2 linked regions of the Rattus norvegicus genome follow. The protein of the gene in region 1 binds, or shares a complex with, the protein of each later gene. Links are inferred from orthologs where the notes say so. Each region holds a gene or a part of one and is shown on either strand. Other genes may lie near its edges.

What was found.
Region 2: Chd5 (region 1) and Cdk2ap2 share a complex: the UniProt entries of both Homo sapiens proteins name them as parts of the nucleosome remodeling and deacetylase (NuRD) repressor complex. The link is inferred for Rattus norvegicus from reciprocal best matches to the Homo sapiens genes CHD5 and CDK2AP2.

What each region holds. Positions count from the first base shown.
Region 1 is NC_086023.1:168,129,148-168,134,357, reverse strand, and holds the start of Chd5 (chromodomain-helicase-DNA-binding protein 5), read right to left. Parts: upstream 3,247-5,210; 5' UTR 3,225-3,246; coding exon 3,146-3,224; intron 563-3,145; exon of another isoform or gene 443-562; coding exon of another isoform or gene 415-442; intron 1-414. UniProt on the Homo sapiens protein: ATP-dependent chromatin-remodeling factor that binds DNA through histones and regulates gene transcription. May specifically recognize and bind trimethylated 'Lys-27' (H3K27me3) and non-methylated 'Lys-4' of histone H3.
Region 2 is NC_086019.1:210,819,162-210,823,933, reverse strand, and holds Cdk2ap2 (cyclin-dependent kinase 2-associated protein 2), read right to left. Parts: upstream 2,999-4,772; 5' UTR 2,923-2,998; coding exon 2,841-2,922; intron 2,533-2,840; coding exon 2,432-2,532; intron 2,345-2,431; coding exon 2,212-2,344; intron 1,845-2,211; coding exon 1,777-1,844; 3' UTR 1,587-1,776; coding exon of another isoform or gene 1,552-1,586; 3' UTR 1,330-1,551; downstream 1-1,329. UniProt on the Homo sapiens protein: Acts as a component of the histone deacetylase NuRD complex which participates in the remodeling of chromatin.

The sequences.
Region 1 (5,210 bases):
CTTAGAAGTGCAGGCCTTGGGGCTGGGGATTTAGCTCAGTGGTAGAGCGCTTACCTAGGAAGCGCAAGGCCCTGGGTTCGGTCCCCAGCTCCGAAAAAAAGAACCAAAAAAAAAAAAAAAGAAGAAGAAGAAGAAGTGCAGGCCTTTTCGAGTCATGGTGAGTCAGATCCTCACCTCTGACCCCAAGGAACCTGAAACACTCACACAGGGAGGTCTGTAGGACAGAGACAAGGACCTGTCTCCCCAGGACCAGCAAGAAGACAGGCTGGGCTCATCAGTTTGATGGTTTCTCCAATTAACCGTGGAGACCTCCAGCCCAGCAGAGCACACCCCTGAGGAAAAGCCCTTTCCTCTCTGCCTTCAGCCCCTCCTCAGGCAGTCCCTCCCCAGCCACGTCCCCTGACCAGCACTTACTGGATAAGAGTTCAAGTCTCAGGAGCATGTCCTTAGGGAGCCAGCTCCCCCTTTAGATGCTAGTCGCACCTGCCATGGTCAGCTGTGACGTGTTGGGCACTGTGACCTGGACGTTCTACGTGTACTCTCTTACGAGACCTCATAATAACCTTCTATGAGGTAGCTGGTGCCAGACTCATTCTACAAGTGGGGGACACTGAGGCAGAGGGACTGAGGGACTTCCCAACACCCCAGGACTATCCAGAACATTGCTGCAACTTAAGGCTTCCTCCGTCCATCCAACTCTTTCTTAAAATGATTATTTATTTAATAGATATGAGTACACTGTTGCTCTCTTCAGACACACCAGAAGAGGGCATCGGATCCCATTACAGATGGTTGTGAGTCACCATGTGGTTGCTGGGAATTGAACTCAGAACCTCTGGAAGAACAGTCAGTGCTCTTAACCACTGAGCCATCTCTCCAGCCCCATCCATCAAACTCTTAAGTCCTCCCTTTGACCAGCACACTCCTCCGGGAATCTGGCAGCTGCACACCTCCAAGCCAGAAGAGGTTGGAGCCTATCTGACGCTCCTCCTCATAGCAGGCCCACCCACCCTCCACAGAACTAGAGAACTGACCAAAGCAAAGCACTGTGTAGGAAACACACTGCGCAGACTCCAACAAACCCAAGTCCAACCTCTGACGATTGAGTGAGGCTCCCAGAACACTGGTTCCTCCCACCTGGCTCCAGGGGGCTAAGAGGTCACTTTCCTGGAACTCCACCCAACACTGCAGAAGGCCATGAGAGGCAGACAACACTGCCAACAGACATGACTGGGATAGGATGTCCCCACATCCAGGGAGCCAGGGGTGACCTAGAGACCCCTTCTCACAATCTCTCAGGTATCCTCTGTCCAGATTGCAATTAGGAACTCTACTTGGGGGGGGAGGGGAGGCTGACAGAAGGTTCAGAGAACAGAACAAGCTACAAGCAAATAACCCCGGAAGAAGAAAGAGGGTGTCCCATAATGCAATGCAGCTGGAACCTAGGTGGACAGAACAAACTTGCAAGCAAAGGACAGGAGCCCGGTAAAGGTTAGGCTAAAGCCAGGGCCCCAGGACAAGATGGTGCCTGCAGGGTTTCATAGCAATACTATCAGGCATCAGGAGTTGGAGCCCATTGAGGCTGTGTGAGGAGAAGCAGCAATGGGAAGACCAGGTGGACCAATGGTCTGGGTCTAAGGAAGGAAGGTCATTGACCACTGGAAAGTTCTGGAGGGAGCCTATGGGCGGGGGAAGGAAACTTAGGCCAGAGGCCTGGCAAGGTGCTGAATCCTGGCAGGCTCTGGGGGCAAAGCAGTTGGAGTGGTTGGTAGACAGGGCCCTGAATTCCCGACTAGAGTGACAGGAACAAGTGTCTCCTCCTCTGTATGGCCTTGGAAGTACTCCTGAAGGCCCCAAGGGACAACTCCCTACCTACTCTGGAGATTTGGAATAAGACAGGACCGTGTCCACTTCTCTGGGGGCATCCAAGACCTCACCAAGCCCTACACCCTGATGCAAGCAAGACCAGGCAGCAAGGAGGAGGTGAACACAGTTGGGGTAACTGAAGACCCAGGAACGGGTCTGATGATCCAAAGTCAGTTGTCCATGGCCCCTGCCAATGCCACAAAAGGCCACGCCCCAATCACCACCAGGGATCTTTGAAGATCAGGCTCCCAAGTAGAAAACAGCCACAGGTTTCTCATGTGCTTGGCCTTCTGCCTTCCTCTCGGAGACAGAGGGTCTGGCTGCTTCGGAGCAGTCAGCCACAGGAAACCATGCCCCTGCACACCTCACCCCATGGAAGGCTCTCGGCCTGGATGAAAGGGGAGGGGTTGAGCAGCAGGCCCCAGTGACAGCATCAAATCCACTAAACCAACTAGCTAGCCAGCTGAGGAGGAGACTGGGGGCAGGGGGTGTGGCCCTTGGTGAAGATGCTAGCCTGGGAGGTAGTGCGCTCTCCTGCAGAATAGGAACTGGGGTGTGAGTGTGTTAAATAGTCTCATCCTCAGGGATGGAGATTCCTGGGAGAAGGGGGCCCTTCTAACCTCTCACAAGTACCTCAGAAGTCCAGGAGGAGCCATGGACTTGAGAAGCTGAGAAGTGATGCCCCTCAGAAGGGAGGGAGGGCAGCTGACAGGGTGAGGCCCTGCCAGGACGGGAGCCAGTTAACTGAAAAATCCTGCAAGGTAACCCCTGAGGCACAAACACGAAGGAGGCTGAATTCAGAGAGGCAGCTGGCAAGGGCAGGGGCGGTGGCCCTGGGGCGTCAGGCCCACAGGCAAGGAAGCAGGGTGGGCTGGGAACCCGGCGGGCACCAGCGTGCCTAGCACCCAGGGCGGCCCGGGCAAAGTGCTGGGGAGCGACTGTCAGGCGCCGGTAGCGGAGCCCGCGCGCCCAGGCTTGGGCATCGCCAGCTCCCCACGCGCCGCCCGTCCTCGCCCCGCCCGCGGCGCGCGCTTCCCGCCGCCTTCAAGGGCACGCGGGCTGACCCCGGCTCGCCGCGCCCCCTCCCGCTCGGCAGCCGGCGCAGGCCCCCGCCACGGCTTCGCCCGGGGGTCCTCGGCGCACCCCGCCCCGCGCGCCGCGCCCCGGAGCTCGCCCGGCCCTGCGCCCTTGGCCAGCGCGGCGCCAGCAGGGCGGGAGCGCAGCCCGCAGCCCCGCGCCCCTCCCGCGTCCCGGGCCCGCAGGTCCCGCGCCCCCTCACCTGACATCTCCTCCTCGTTCTCCATCTCCTCCGCGAACAGCCGCGGCAGCTCCTCCTCGGTGCCCAGCGGGCCCCGCATGCCCGGCGCGGGGGGGAGGGGAGGTGGGCGCCCCCCTCCCGCCGGGCGCGGTGCCAGCCTTAACCCGTGCGCTGCCGGACGGACCCGCGCGGCGGGCGAGGCGGTCTCGGCGAGAAGATGGCGGCCGCCGGCCCCCCCCGCCCCCCAAACCTCCACCCCCCCGTGTCGACCCCGCAAGCTCTCGGCCGCCTCTGCCCGCACCCGCCAAGCCCGGGCCGCTCCGCCCACCGCGCCCCGCAGCGCGAGTCCCGCAGCCGGCCGAGGGTGGCGGCGGCAGCGCCCGCGGCACGGCGGCACGGCGGGGGGGCGGCACACATGCCCGGATTGTGACGTCCAGTCTGGTTGCTGTGGCAACCCCATCCCATCGTTCCGCCAGCGCGACTAGTTAACAGCGGAGAACAAGTTGGGGGGACTAGTCTTGGGCAGCTGGGTGAGCGCGCGGTGAGGGGCGGGTGCCGGGAGCCGTCCAGGTGCCCGCCGGACCCAAGACACGACAGCAGAGCTGGCTGCGGGGGCTCGATGGCAAGGGCGCAGGGGGAGTCCAGGCGGTGATCCCCGAGCACACCCCAGGCAGGGCCAGCCAGCTGTTGCCACCCTGCCCGCGAAGGGACTTGGGCCCGAGAGGCCGGATGGGTGGTGAGCCATAAACTGCCCCACTTTTCCGAAGCGGACTCACCCCACCTCGGATTCAGGCTATCACGTTTTTAAACCCCTTTCAGAAGAGAAGTCCAAGAAAATGTGGCTCACACTTAAGGGTCACTCTGGTGACAGTGGGTACGATTTATCCAGAAAATTCCGTGGCTTCTCACCCCCCACATGCTCTCTTTTCAGAACTGGGCTGTGTCCAGCTCAAACACATCCAGTTCCCTGGGGCTCTGTATGGTCTGTGCCCTGGACTGCCACTCAGGACACCTGTCGCCTAGCGGAAGGGTTGGCGGCTGCCAGCCCGGCTTGTTAAAGGTGAAGCTCGATGCTGATGCCTTTGCTGGAGCCCTGGGGAACAAGACTAGAATTTTAAATGAGAGCTTTCAACGGGGTGCAGCCTCACAGCAACTTTAAGAGCACAGAAGTTGTGGGGGCCTGAGCTAGCAGGAGGTTGCCAGTTCTCCAGTCCTGTAGAGTGTGGGTCATCCTCGTGTCCTGCTTCTGTCCACACGCTGAGGGAGTGGACCTCACTGCTGCCAGCAGGAGCAGGTCCTGGGTGCTCTGAGAGGGTAGGAGCACAGGACTGAGCTGACCAGTTGAGCCATATAGAGCAACAGTTTCTAGTGTCCAAAGCTGTCACCAGGAGGGATTTCCCCGTCTTAGAACCTTTGGGGAACCATATGATCTGTAGCAGTTTGAGTGTCCTCGGTACAAGACAAGATCTCTTGAGATGGCTGCAGTCACCAGGCTGCCCCGAGACAGTTCGACAGTTCGTAAGGGTTGCAAGAGCCTTTGCTAAAGCTTTCTTCTCATGCTGTACAAATTGTGGGGACACCCCAAAGAAAACCTTTCCTTCACTCGTTCCTGAGCAAAGCCAGGTCTGCCCAGCCTCTCAGGATGGACAGACAGGACACTAGGACTCTCCCTCTGTGTCACAGATCACTTTTACACTTCCCAGGACAGTAGAGGTCCCCTGCACAAGGCAAAAGGACCAGCCATCAGGAGTAAGATAGCTAAGGATCCGAATGGTCCACTGGGCTGTTTCCTTGTTTCCTGCCAGGGAGAGAGCCTCAGTCTGCTGAGGCTTGAGTCTCTATCCTCCCGGGGGGGGGGGGGGCGGCTCGCTGGCTCTCCCCAGACCGCTTGTCTCCCTGACCCCTGACCACTAAGGGTCCAGGAAAGAAAAGCCCAAGCTCAATTGAACATGTCTGCCCTCCATTACCAGCCCCTAAGATTTCTCTGTTGTTGAACATTAAGCCTTTTTGAAGGTCCCCTGTCCAGCCTCAGAGAAACTTGTGTCCTACTTCTCAACACCAGAAAGACGTCCCCATCCCGTGTGTA
Region 2 (4,772 bases), on another chromosome or scaffold:
CCCACCTGCGTCCCGGCCTGGCGCCACAGTTCCGCTGCAGACACCCCTTCCACCCCCACCTCGCACCCAGCGGGCAGGCGAGAGGCCCGGTCCTCACTTCCCTCTGCTCCGCGTCCCTGGAGCCAGGCGCGCTCTTGATCTGCCCGCTCACCAACGTCCCCGCTCACCTCTAGCTTTTGGTGGGCGCCCCTCACCCGACCCAGGCAGGGGCGGCCGGCCACAAGGTGGGAGTTCGTTGTGCCCCCAGTCTCGGCCTCGGATTCCAGACGGAGCCCGACCCTCTGGAGGCGCGGAGCCGGCCCATAGCCCCGACCTTTTTCCCCCAGTCTGTCCGCCGGCGCCCCTGCTGTCCCTCCCCGCCGCGTCACTGCGGCCGCCCCGCCCCCTTCCTGGGCTAGTCCTCCCCACCCCGGCAGGGTCGGGGGCAGCCCCGCCCGCGGTGCAGCAGGGCTGGTCCCTGCCTTCCTTCTTCAAGGCAGACTGGGAAGTGGCCGGTCTCCAAATGCCAGTTCTTTATTTCTGTGCTGTCTGTACACCCCAAAGACTCTCGGTTTCATTTCCCACCCGGGCCCAGCCAGGGCAGCCCTCCTGGCTGGATCCCAGGTTAGAGGAAATGCTGTACCCCAGTTAGACAGAAGTTGGAAGCTCTCACTTGCTTCTGCCTAGGGTTGGCATTACAGGGTTACTTAGCTACATAGGGGGGTAGAGGCCATCCCCTTAATGGGGCCAAAGTCCTTCTCTACTATGTCTGCTAGGTTCTCAAATTCGGCCACCCATCTAACTGCTCTGACTCTGTACAAAGGCTGAGACACCCATAGCTGGCTCATGGAGCCACACCCAGCCTGGTGGAAGTTGTCGGGACAGTGGATTGCAGGTGCTGGGGGGAAGGGAGCCTCTAACTGCCTCCCTAAGGAGTCAGAGACCTGGCGAATCCGGAGCCTTCCAAAGATAGTTTAAAGTGGAGGGTAGTGTAGGGGCATTAAGGCATTCAAAGGTGGGACTTCGGTGAACTGGTATCTCCACCCTGCCAGGCATGCCTGCCAATCCAGAGCAAGGGCCCTTCAGGCTCAGGCTGCCCAACAGTACAGAGCAAGGGCCCTTCAGGCTCAGGCTGCCCAACAGTACCTCCAGCTGTGAAGGCAGCCAAGGCCCTACACTGCCCTCTGGTGGCACCTCCCTATGCAGACTTCCCCACCACTGGTGCTCTGGCCTTTCAGCTACTCCCCCAGCAGGAAGGCACAGAGCTGGAGGTGGCAAAGGACAGGGTGGGAAGGCATAGGTTCAAGCAGGCTTCCCCCAGAGGAATCACACACAGAAAGGCTCAGAGCCGAGAGAATGGCTCCAAATCATCTTTTATTTATATAAAAAGGGCATATTTAGTAAAAGACACACCAAAAAAAGAGTCAGCTGTGGCCCCAGAGATGAGGCAGGGAGGCCTTCTGCACCCCTGTTGGAGAGGGAGGAGGCGGCCTGGACTAAGAGTTAAGGAGTAAGTGCCATGTGGTGGGACCACAGAGAGGAAGCTCCAGTTAGATCAGCACTGTGATCAGGTCACAGATGGGACTCACGGTGGCCTCTCAGCACTCCTGCAGAGGGAGAGACCAGTCTGTACAGCCAACTGGATGAAGATCTGCTACCTGGTTCCTGAAAGGTGCCCACCAAGGAACACAGGACAGGAAGCCCAGGATAGGAAGCAACTTGGGGCAAAGGCCAGGGAGAAGCAGGTGCTCTGCAGTGGCCGGAAAGGTCCCGACGGAGAGGTCAAGGTGCTTCCTGTTACGTGCGGGCATTGCGTTCTGTCTCTGCCAAGCACTCTCTGACTAGTGCCCGAGCATGGATGATACCTGGGGTGGGGCGGGGTAGGATGGGGACGTAAGAAGCAGGGCCTCAGAAACCTCCCACAGTCACCCTGCAGAGCAGACACTTCCCGCCCTTCACGGTTCAGCAAGATCACCCCTAATCTAGTGTGGCTGGATGAGATTAAGGGTTTGGCTAATTCTCACATTCACCCTGAGTTCCCGAGCACCTTCTTGAACACTGACTCAAGTTCATTTCAAACACCTTCCTGGACAGGTTCTGTTCTAATCTAGGCTGGCCCAAATGTCCTGAACTGACTCTAGATATCCTCCATCCTTACTGAAATGTCTTAATATTCATAATTCTTAATGTCTGTGTCCTGGGCAGAACAAGGGTGGGCTTTGGCTTCACTACCTCTCTTCAGGCGCTCCATGGCACTCTTGCTACCAGCATAGGTGGGTCGGATCTCTTTGCCCATCTCCTCTATGACAGACAGCAGGTCCGTGTAGGTGCTCTGAGAGCCCTGGGAACCGGGTGGCTTCATTGCCTGTGTCAAAAGAAAATACAGTTGTGACCTCAGACCCCGAGGGCATCTCCTGTCCTTATCCATAAGCAAGCTCTTAGCCACACTCACCTGTACATACCCCATGGACGGCGGTCCAAAGTCGTTAAACAGTGGTCTGAAAGGAGCTGCAGCTCCTGGCACTGAGCCCGATGGCGATGGGACACTTCCGGCTGCAACGACACGAGTAAGAGGTTAGAGTGTGACAAGGACCTCCTTACAGATTTCCAAGCCCAGGACCGTTTTCCTGACCACCTCCAAAGGCATGCTTCTTCATTCCACTCTGAACAACTTCAGAGACACACTCCTCCCCCTTGCGCTCCACCTACAATCTCTACGTGACCACGCCCACTTCTCAGGCTAGCAAACTGAGGCTGAGCCAGGCTCGCCTAGCAGGCCCTGTATTGCAAAACTCGAGCCGTTTCTCTACAAGACCTCGACTGCCCGAATAAGACGAGCAACGGTGGAGTTGGCGCCTCACCTGTAGGGACCGGGGTGCCTGGCCCGGGGGTGCTGGAGCCGGGGGTACTGCTGGGGGCGGGCGCGATAGGTTTGTAGGACATCCCAACTCCTTAGTGCGGCGGCCGCCAGCCGGCCGCTCCTCTGGGGTTGGCTGTCCGGCAGCTCAGCCGCACTCTGATTGGCAAGCGATCTGCACGCCCCTGGTAAATAGAGCTCCGGCCGGAAGGGCGGGCGGGCACGACCGTTCCTCACTCTCGATTGGTGTGCTCAGCTGTCACTCGAGCCTCCTCATTGGCTGAATCTTGCCCCTGCAGGCCGCAACCGCTTCCGATTGGCCTCCACCTTCCGGACCTCGCACCTGTCTGCCCCGGATTGGGCGGTGACCGCCGTCCTCCTCAATTGGCGAGTTCGGGGCCCGGGGCCGGCGCGCTTTCAATCCGATTAGTCCCGAGGTCCGAGAGGCGGGGCCTCCGCAGCGGGCCAGTCTGGTCCCCGCGGTTTGCTCCGGTAGTGTGTGGCCGGCCGCCGAACACACTTAGTTCTCACCGCCTCGTGACTTCCCTCACAAGGCCACGGCTCCCCCAGTATGAACCCTCCGCCCTACCCGGAGCGTTTTACGTCACCTTTAACCGGTTCGGTGCCCCCCCTTCGCCTCTGCGCACGCGCGCGCCTCAGGCCTGTATTTGTTCCCATGGCAACGGTTCCTTCACCAAAGGTTTTACCAAGCTCTTTCTCTAGGTTGGTTTACACCTTATGTCTAGTAGGCAGGTGGGTACAAGGCAGCTGACGACACTGCTCAAGGCCTGAACCCTAAGTCTCCCACCTTCTCCACTGAAGGACTGCGTTAGGTCAAGTCAGGACCCGGGTCAAGATCTTGGCTAAAATCTCAGCACCTCATTGATGGTTTCCTCCTGGGTTCTCCTTTTGGCGGGTTGGATGGGATTGAGACAAGGTCTCAAGTAGTCCTGTCAGAACGCGAACTCCCTGTGTAGTCAAGGATGACCTTGAACTCCTGATGCTCTGTCTCCCAAATGCTAAGGATTACAGGCACTCGCCACAGATTCTTGTCTTAATATGCTTCAGTTTCCTCGTATGAAACATGAGGATAATAATACCTGGACGATAAACTAGGAAGTGGGCAGAGAAATAGAGAAGAGAGTCGGCCCTATATGGGTGGAAGCACAGTTGATTATTGTTCTGACTTCATTAATGAAACTCCTACCTGGGTCTGGCCATCTCATTCCTATTTCCTTGAAATCAATTCACTTTAAAATTAAAAAAAAAGATCTATTTTGTGTATATGCCTGCATCTATGTCTTCAGAATTGCTGAGCCATGCCTTTAGCTCCAACTCTCTTTTTAAAAAAAGCAGAAAAAAGTGGCTGCAGAGATGGCTTAGCAGGAAAGAAGGCAGGCTGCTCTTCTAGAGGACCCAGGTTAGAATTCGCAGCATTTACACAGTGCCTCAGAACCATTTGTAACTGCATTTCCAGTGGGCCCAATATCCTTTTCTGTTCTTAGTGGACATTAAGCAAACATGTGGTACACAAACATACAGTCTGGGAAAACACCCTAGACATATATATATATTTTTTTTTCTGAGAGAGGGTCTCACTATCTAGCTCTGGTTAACCTGAAACTCAATATATAGACCAGGCTGGCCTTAAACTCACCGAGATCCTCTTCTGCTTCCTAAGTGCTTTGATTAAAGGCATGTACCACCACTCTCAACTAAATAAATCTCCCTTTTTAAGACTATTGAAAAACAAAAGGCCAAAAAGATGCCTCAGCGGTTAAGAGTGCTGACTATTGGGCTGGGGATTTAGCTCAGTGGTAGAGCGCTTACCTAGGAAGCGCAAGGCCCTGGGTTCGGTCCCCAGCTCCGAAAAAAAGAACCAAAAAAAAAAAAAAAAAAAAAGAGTGCTGACTGTTCTTCCAAAAGTTTTGAGTTC